Linked DNA regions of Macaca mulatta. The protein of the gene in region 2 purifies or fractionates together with the protein of the main gene of each other region. This does not show direct contact. Links are inferred from orthologs where the notes say so. Each region holds a gene or a part of one and is shown on either strand. Other genes may lie near its edges. The genes, in order: SNRNP70 and GEMIN2.

Region 1 (4,222 bases), on a different chromosome or scaffold from region 2:
AAAAAAAAAAAAAAAAAAAAATTAAAAAAAAAAATAAATAACTAGTAACTGAGACCAGGCACGGTGGCTCACGCCTGTAATCCCAGCACTTTGGGAGGCCAAGGTGGGCGGATCACGAAGTCAGGAGATCCAGACCATCCTGGCTAACACGGTGAAACCCCGTTTCTACTAAAAATACAAAAAATTAGCCGGGCGTGGTGGCAGGCACCTGTAGTCCCAGCTACTCCGGAGGCTGAGGCAGGAGAATGGCGTGAACCCAGGAGGCGGAGCTTGCAGTGAGCTGAGATAGCACCACTGCACTCTAGCCTGGGCGACAGAGCAAGACTCCCTCTCAAATAAATAAATAAATAAATAGAAACTGGCACATGACCTGCATCATCAAAGGGCACCTACCACCGCCTGTGCCCATTAAGTTAATTTAACTGGCCAGTAACACTTCTCAAATGCGGGTTCACCAAGGGTGGCAAATCCCACTGAAGATACACCTTTCTGTTATCTATGAACTTCTGCTGTGCAACTCCCTCGCCTCCAGCTGCCCTTCCCTACGCAATGCCAGAATGTTCTTGTAACTTCTGGCTATGTGCCAGTTTTTCTCAGGTGTGCTCTGATGCACCTAGGAGAAGACCTTTGTCATCCCATTTCACAAATAAAAACACAGAGGTCCAGGAGCCTAAGTCATTCATTCCTATTTACCCCGAAGGTGCAGAGCTAAGATCCCCATCTGCAGTTTTAAGTCCTCCAATACTCAATACTGGGTGCTAAGTCTTTATGAACATCATCTTATTAACAATAAAAACAGTAAACAAAGTAACAAAGGCTGACACGTGCTGACTGGTTGGTGCCAAGCCCCTGATATACACTTTGCCATTTAATTCTCCAGCATTATGAGGGTGCTACCACTATCCCCTTGCTAAAGATAAAGAAACCAATGCATGAAGAGGATACAACATTTGCCCAAAGTCAGAGCTGATAAATGGTGCGGGTTAAGTGCCAATCTTCAACCACTACTCACTGAATTTTCACAAAAATTCTACAAAAGGGGTACTATCAAACCCTACTTTTTTTTTGAGACAGTCTTCTTCTGTTGCCCAGGCTGGAGTGCAGTGGCACGATCTCAGCTCATTGCAACCTCCACCTCCTGGGTTCAAGTGATTCTCGTGCCTCAGCCTCCCAAGGAGCTGGAATTACAGGCATCATCATGCCCGGCTAATTTTTGTTATTTTTAGTAGAGACGGGGTTTCACCATGTTGGTCAGGCTGGTCTTGAACTCTTCACCTCAGGTGATCCACCTGCCTCAGCCTCCCAAAGTACTGGGATTACAGGCGTGAGCCACCGCACTGGGCCACAACCCCACTTTAAAAAAAATTTTTTTTTTTTTGAGAGACAAAGTCCTGCTCTGTCACCCAGGCCGGAGTATAGCGGCACAATCACAGAGCACTTCAGTCCCCAACTCCTGGGCTCAAGCAATCCTCCCATCTCAGCCTCCTGAGTAGCTAGAACTACTGCTGCACTCGACCACACCCGGCACCCGGCTGCAACCCCATTTAAAACAGCGAAACTGAGGATCACAAAGATTAAGCCCCTCGCTTAAATCACACAGCTAGCAAAATAGTCAGAGGCTGGACTCGCAAATCCAACCCCTTGCTCCCCAGAACCCAAACCATTCCTGGCCTGCTCAGTGAACTCACCTCAAACTCTCGAATGTACGGCGCAATGCCACAGTAAGGTTGATTGTGGTGTTTTTCATGTGGCAGTTTCTCCAGGGGTGGCAGGTATGGGATAGGGTCACGGGGGGCAAAGAGGGCCAGAAGGTTGGGCGGCAGGAACTGGGTCATCTTGCCAAGTCTGAGAGCAGAAGCAGGACAGCCTTAGGTTAGATCGGGTCTGCAGAGAAAGCCCCTATTACTCCTTGACTCTCAAAGTAAGAAAGAAAGGAGAAAAGTCTCGGAATTAAAACAGGCTTTGTAACGGCAGAGAACGGTCCTGTGTTACGGAGAAAAGGGTAAAAGTCTTGTTGGAGGTGGAGGTGAAAGGCCGGTAAAAGACACAAAAATAAAGGCTGAAAAAGGGTTCCTGAGTAGTGAAGTCTCAGAGTCCTGAGACACGAGCTGTGGGGCGGAGAGGTTGCCTGGGAATTTCTGGGGGAATCAAAGACCCGAGGAGGGAGGCCCAGGGCAGTTGTGGCTGCTCGTCCCGTACCGTGGACAGCAAATTACTAGACGCAGTTTGCAAGGGCCTGGGGGTCGGAAGTCTCCGAGCAAAGAAAGAGAAACATAAGGAGCGAAGCCCCAAAACCAAGCGCTTGTGGGTAACAGATCTGGGCCCCGCAAAGGCGAAAGGAATTATGGGTAAGGGTCCAGGACAACATAGAAAAACGAAAAAGAAAAAAGGCTACACACCGCAAGGGCCTGTGGGTAGGGAACCGCGAGGGCGATGTGGGGACCGGGCGTGGGTGCCCAGAGAACTCGGGGTCCGAGAAAGGGATGCAAAAGTGACCTGTGGCGAGGACGCGGGAAGGGGGCCTGGCCGCGGGGAAGAGGCCCGGGCCCACCGCTGGGGCTTCTGGGTAGCGGCCCCGCTCCCCGTCGGGCCACTCAGTCACACTCACTCGCCGCGCAGCGCCCTCCTAGCTCTGGTGTCTGTCCGGAGGCTCGCGGCGGCTGCGGCGGCCCCTCAGCAACAACAGCTCCTGCTTGGGCTTCCACTCTGGGGGCGTCCGCGTCCGTCTGATTCCGTCGCCCGCGCAGCGAGCGCACCAGGCCGCTGCTCAGGAACCCGCGCGGCCTCGGCTAGCGACTGGAGCAGGGGGTGGGTCCCGGCCGCAAATCCCTCCGCCGTCTGCACTGCGCACGCGCCGCGCGAGGCCAAGCTCAACCCACACGCTGGGACCCGGCGCCGCCGCGGCAACAGCGCACGCGCGAGGTCACCACCCCGCCTTCGGGCACCTTGAGTATTTCAACCGCCGGGAGCTGGCGTCTGCACTGCGCGCGCGCGCTTAGCCCCAAGCCGCCCCTCCACCTCTCGCTTTCCGCTCCAAACCGCCTATGTCCGCGAGGCTCTCCCTGATGCTCCGCCCCTTTCCAATCACACTTCCCGGATCTTGCGCGCATGCGTTCTGCGTAGGGAACTATAATGTACCTCTCCGCCGACTAGCAAAGAGTCCCTAAGTGAATGGCCTGATTGCGTTGATGTTTAATCTAGTCAATCGATAACTGTTCATCGAGCATCTCGTGTGTGCTAGGCACTGTCTGGGCTTTGGGGCTACAGCACGTGATTAAAGCAAAGTCTTCTCCTGCTAGGGCTTACACTGTACTGGGAGAGACAATAAAAGCATTTAACTGAGTAAAGATAATTTGAGGCCGGGCGCGGTGGATCACGCATGTAATCCCAGAACTTTGGGAAGCTGAGGCGGTCGGATCACCTGAGGTCAGGAGTGCGAGACCAACCTGACCAACATGGTGAAAGCCCGTCTCTACTAAAAATACAAAAATTATCCGGGCGTGGCGGTGCGCGCCTGTAATCCCAGTTACTCGGGAGGCTGTGGCAGGAGAATCGCTTGAACTCGGGAGGCTGAGTTTGCAGTGAGCCGAGGTCGTGCCATTGCACTCCAGCCTGGGCGACAGAGCGACTCCGTCTCAAAAATAAATAAATATAAAAAATAAAAGATATTTTGAGATAGTGGCCAGCATAATGAAGAACGATGGAGCAGAATAAAGGGATGGGAAATGAGAGCGAGTCTATTTTGATAATGGAAGCCTCTTCTGAAGAGGCAACATTTGAACAAAAACCAGATAGAAGCGAGATCTGGAGGGGGGGAGGAGCGGGGGGTGGTGTTTAACAGTTTAAGTGCAAAGGTCCTGAGCGAGGACCAGATGGCAGAAATCTCAGGTTGTTAGCCATGAGATCAGAGAGCTGGCACTTAAGCTATTTGGAGCCCTGTTGTTAAGTATCTTCAGTTTTGTGGATAGATTCAATAGCCTGTTTAATAACTACAGAAATTACTGCAAAATTCAATTGACTAATTTTATGTTTCAATAAAAAGGCCAAGTGCAGTGGCTCACACCTGTAATCCCAGCACTTTGGGAGGCCAAGGCGGGTGGATCACTTGAGGAGTTCGAGACCAGCCTGGCCAACATGGTGAAATCCCATCTCTACTAAAAATGCAAAAATTAGCTGAGAGTGGTGGCACACACCTGTAATTCTAGCTACTCGGGAAGCTGAG
Region 2 (4,777 bases):
GAAATTATGTATGATTATTATATATCAATAAAATAAAAAATAAGAACTTTGGTATGGGCAAGATGTACTTAAAGACATTTAACTTTAAATTGCCTACTTCTGTTTTCTTTTTTTGAGACGGAGTTTTGCTCTTGTTGCCCAGGCTGGAGCGCAATGGCGTCATCTCGGCTCACCACAATCTCTGTCTCCCGGGTTCAAGCAATTCTCCTGCCTCAGCCTCTCGAGTAGCTGGGATTACAGGCGTGTGCCACCACACCCGGCTAATTTTGTATTTTTAGTAGAGACGGGGTTTCTCCATGTTGGTCAGGCTGGTCCTGAACTCCCGAACTCCTGTGATCCGCCTGCCTTGGCCTCCCAAAGTGCTGGGATTACAGGCGTGAGCCACTGTGCCCAACCATACTTCTATTTTCTAAAACAGCACGTATAGCCTGAGCAACATATCAAGACCCCGTCTCTACAAAAAATACAATTAGCTGGGCACTGTGGCACATGCCTGTCGTCTCAGCTACTGGGGAGACTGAGGTGGGAGGATGGCTTGAGCCCACGAGCTCGAGGCTGCAGTGAGCTATGATCATGGCACTGTACTCTGGCCTATGCAACAAAGCGAGACCTTGTCTCAATCAATCAATCAATCCATCAAATTAGGTATATTAAGACATTCTGTTCCATTAAATGTCCATCAACTAAAAAATCCTGAAGAGGAATTATAAGAAAAATTATAGTGTCTGAATTAAAATTTCCTGATTACAAATATCAGTTAGAACAACTACTTTGAACATGAAAAGGAAATTACTATCAACTAGTTAAAATGCCACTCTTCCAGGCACCTGTAGTTCCAGCTACTTGGGAGGCTGAGGCAGGAGAATGGTGTGAACCCAGGAGGCGGAGGTTGCAGTGAGCTGAGATTGCACCACTGCACTCCAGCCTGGGTGACAGAGTGAGACTCAGAGACTCTGTCTCAAAGAAAAAATAAATAAATAAAATAAAATGCCACTCTCCTTTGAGCTTAGGTTAAATAGCACCTCCTTAGAGAGACCTTTGCTGGCCAGGTGTGGTGGCTCACACCTGTAATTCCAGCACTTTAGGAGGTGGAGGCAGGCAGATCACTTCAGGTCAGGAGTTCGAGACCAGCCTGGCCAACATGGTAAAACCACGTCTCTACTAAAAATACAAAAATTAGCCGGGTGTGGTGGCACACACCTGTAATCCCAGCTACTTAGGAGGCTGAGGCAGGAGAAGCTCTTGAACCTGGGAGGCGGAGGTTGTGATGAACTGAGATCGTGCCACTGTACTCCAGCCTAGGTGAAAAATAGAGACTCAAAAAAAAAAAAAAAAGGGAAAAAGAGAGTCCTTTTATGATTCCTCTATCTACAGTAGTTCTGTCATGTATTATTATATATGCTTATTTTCTTCATAGCAATAATCACAATATGTAATTATTTGTTCGCTTGTTTACTCTCTGTCTTCCTCAGGAGAGTATGTAAACTCTACAAGGGTAAGAACCGTTTTTGTCTTATCCTCTGTTGTATTCCCAGGGCCCGGCACTGTACTCTGCTTAATTAAAGATGTGCTGGATAAATGAAAATGTCCAGAGTGTGCACATAGCTATAAAAGTAAGGCCGGGTATGGTGGCTCACACCTGTAATCCCAGCAGTTTGGGAGGCAGAGGTGGGCAAATCACGAGGTCACGAGTTCGAGACCAGACTGACCAACACGGTGAAACCCCGTCTCTACTAAAAATGCAAAAATTAGCCGGGTGTGGTGGCGAGCGCCTGTAATCCCAGTTACTCAGGAGGCTGAGGCAGGGTAATCGCTTGAAACCGGAAGGCAGAGGTTGCAGTGAGCCGAGATCGCACCACTGCATTGCAGCCTGGGCAACAAGAGTGAAACTCTGTCTCAAAAAAAAAAAAAAAAAAAAAAAAAAAATGTGTAAGACATCTGGGTTTCTATTAAAAAAAGTGAAATTTAGTCAAATTCAGATTAAATTATATTAAACTAAGATTAAACACCAATCCAATAACTGGAAAAAGGTTCCTTAAAAATAAAGGGGTCAGGCGAGGTGGCTCATGCCTGTGATCCCAATGCTTTGGGTGGCAGAGGTGGGAGGATCCCTTGAGGCCAGGAGTTCCAGACCTGCTGGCAACAGAGACTCACTCTCTATAAACAAACAAACAAGCAAAAAGAAAAAAGATAGCATAAGTAACCCATTTAAAGACTCCTTTGAAAGGACTGGATAATGTCCCTGAAGTAAGATGGGCAAGCCTCCACAAAGGCTAGAGTTACAGAAAGCCTCTTTAGAGGCAGTAAATGCCAATTGTGTTTCTGGAGGAAAAAGTACAAGCGAATGTCTAACTTTGCAGCGAGTAGTCAAATCTTACATCATAATTGATACTGTTGGATACTATAGGGAGCGTTAGTCTTTTAACTGGGGGATTGGGGGTAAGCTCCAGACGGTTAATAAAACTCACAGAAATATTCACACTTTGCTTCCTTTTCAACTTCTTTGGGTCAATTTGAGCTACCACAACATCTGGACATTGAGCTGCTTCGATCCTACAAATAAGTAATAAACGCGAGAAATTAAATTTCTATTGTGCTTTGCTCAGGTGTAGTAAAACGAGCGATCCACTTCCACAGTTCATTGTGAAATTAGAAAAAAAATTCAGACTTCCAATTGAGGAACTAAACAATATATTTCTGAAATTATCTGGATCGAAAACAAATCTAAGAGCACACATCTTGATACGTGCAATCACGTTCAACAGAAACTCGCCCACGTTAGGATGTAATCCAGAATCCTGAATAGACCCGAACTCGCAAGAGACTGGAACGGGAATAGAGCACCGGGGGCTGTACCCAGGGGCAGCGCAGAAGACCAGCCCACCCGCCCAGGGCCAAATCACTCACTGGACCCGCCTCAGGTATTCCTGAGGCGTCCTCGGGGGTACCGAGGGATCGAAACCTTCCGTCAAGTCGCAGGGCTCTACCGGCAATAGCCGAGGCATCAACTCTTCCACTGCGGACTCCGCTGGTACCCACGCCATGGTTTTCAAACCAGCCAGTTCCGCTCAGCGCTTGCGCCCATTCTAGGTCACAGCGCAGGCGCACAAGTAGACACCTTAGGCGCGGAGCTGAGCAAGCGGCAGTTTAGGGAGCGTTAACTGCGCATGAACAAACTGCTGCTTGCCTCAAGGTTAAGGCTCCGGTGGTGTAATAAAGGATCTGAGAATTTAATTCCTAGCTGAATTGGTTCGAACGCGTTTCTGGGTCTTTTACCCTCTGTTTTGTTTTCTAACGCTGGGTAAAGGCCGAGGGTTAGCAACTTTTATGCATCTCTAGTAGTGAGGGATCCTTAGAAATGTTTTTTGAATTAATGAACAATATTACGGTAATTATCATTCATGGAGCTCTAAATTTTTAAACCCTTAATAAACACACACATTTTCTCATTTGATTCTTAGAACAATCTTGTGAAGTGGGTAGTAATATTCCGCTTTCTTAGGGCAGGGACTGACCTTCCAAAGGGGAAGAACCAATTCCAACCTAGATTTATCCGATGCCAAATGAATGAAAAATTAATTTTCTACAGGAATTTCTAGTGCTTGACCACTTCAAAGATCACTGTATGTTTATTTGGAATGAATATTACTCCTAGAATAGCCAGCACTTTTTAATTTTCGTTTTAAAGAAAAATCTCTTCGTTTAAATACAAATAGTGAAAAAATGAAACTAATGCTAACACCCAGAAATTAAAAATGTTAGGTCAGTCTTGTTAGGTAGATAGTATTATTATCTCCATTTCATAGGTGAGGAAACAAGGCAGGAATGTGCAAGAAACAAGTATAATATCTGATTATTTCTAAACAAATACAATTGAGTGAATGCAATTGACTTTTATTTTCTAACATTTATGTTTATTTTAGAAGGTTTAAAAAAATTTTTTTATTTATAGCACTGCCTTTAGCTTGCAAGGAACTGATTTTAAACCAGGATGTAAATCTAAATTGAAGATAAAGTGAGGATAGTCCTTAGCTTATTTAAGTACTTAATGCTTAGGAACTGCAACTAAACAGTTGGGACACTGGGAAAGATAACACCTGGCTGCAGACTACAGTTATTTGGTTAACAAATTTTCACTGGTTTTGGGAAAAACAGACTTAAAAGAGAATAGGGAGAAATACTCCTGTCCTCCAACATTTTGGTGATAATCAAGGACAAATATGAAAAAGTAGTGACTTGAGGACTAAACTGATTTTTTTATTTTGCCCAAATTCCTATCTAAGGGGTCTGGGGAGTCATGCCCTACAAAGCATAAATTCTCATCAGATGGGTTTTATTTAACCCTATATATCATGATTTACTTTTCAACCTCACTTCAGCATAACATTATGAGACAAAGAAGAAGAAAAAAATATTTTACCCCAAAACATGTTTCTTTGCCCTATTTTGAAAAGGCCCTGCAAAGCTGTTCTTCGTGGGGGAAAATTTGCATCTGTAAAGAATCTTGGCCAGGCGCGGTGGCTCACGCTGTAATCCCAACCACTTTGGGAGGCTGAGCTGGGCAGATCACCTGAGGTCAGGAGTTCCAGATCAGCCTGGCCAACATGGTGAAACTCCATCTTTAGTAAAAATACAAAATATTAGCTGGGCATGGTGGCGGGCGCCTGTAATCCCATCTACTTGGGAGGCTGAGGCAGAAGAATCGCTTGAATCCAGGAGGTGGAGGTGGCAGTGAGCCGACATTGTGCCATTGCACTCCAGCCTGGGCAACAAGAGT

What was found.
Region 1: the proteins of GEMIN2 (region 2) and SNRNP70 purify together in Homo sapiens (affinity purification with mass spectrometry; 5 studies listed by BioGRID and IntAct, counting the BioPlex papers as one, with this or other methods). This does not show direct contact. The link is inferred for Macaca mulatta from reciprocal best matches to the Homo sapiens genes GEMIN2 and SNRNP70.

Annotation. Positions count from the first base shown.
Region 1 is NC_133424.1:61,533,251-61,537,472, reverse strand, and holds the start of SNRNP70 (U1 small nuclear ribonucleoprotein 70 kDa), read right to left. Parts: upstream 2,801-4,222; 5' UTR 2,609-2,800; exon of another isoform or gene 2,400-2,608; intron 1,846-2,399; 5' UTR 1,836-1,845; coding exon 1,689-1,835; intron 1-1,688. UniProt on the Homo sapiens protein: Component of the spliceosomal U1 snRNP, which is essential for recognition of the pre-mRNA 5' splice-site and the subsequent assembly of the spliceosome. SNRNP70 binds to the loop I region of U1-snRNA.
Region 2 is NC_133412.1:112,222,939-112,227,715, reverse strand, and holds the start of GEMIN2 (gem-associated protein 2), read right to left. Parts: upstream 3,107-4,777; 5' UTR 3,045-3,106; coding exon 2,908-3,044; intron 2,554-2,907; coding exon 2,469-2,553; intron 1-2,468. UniProt on the Homo sapiens protein: The SMN complex catalyzes the assembly of small nuclear ribonucleoproteins (snRNPs), the building blocks of the spliceosome, and thereby plays an important role in the splicing of cellular pre-mRNAs.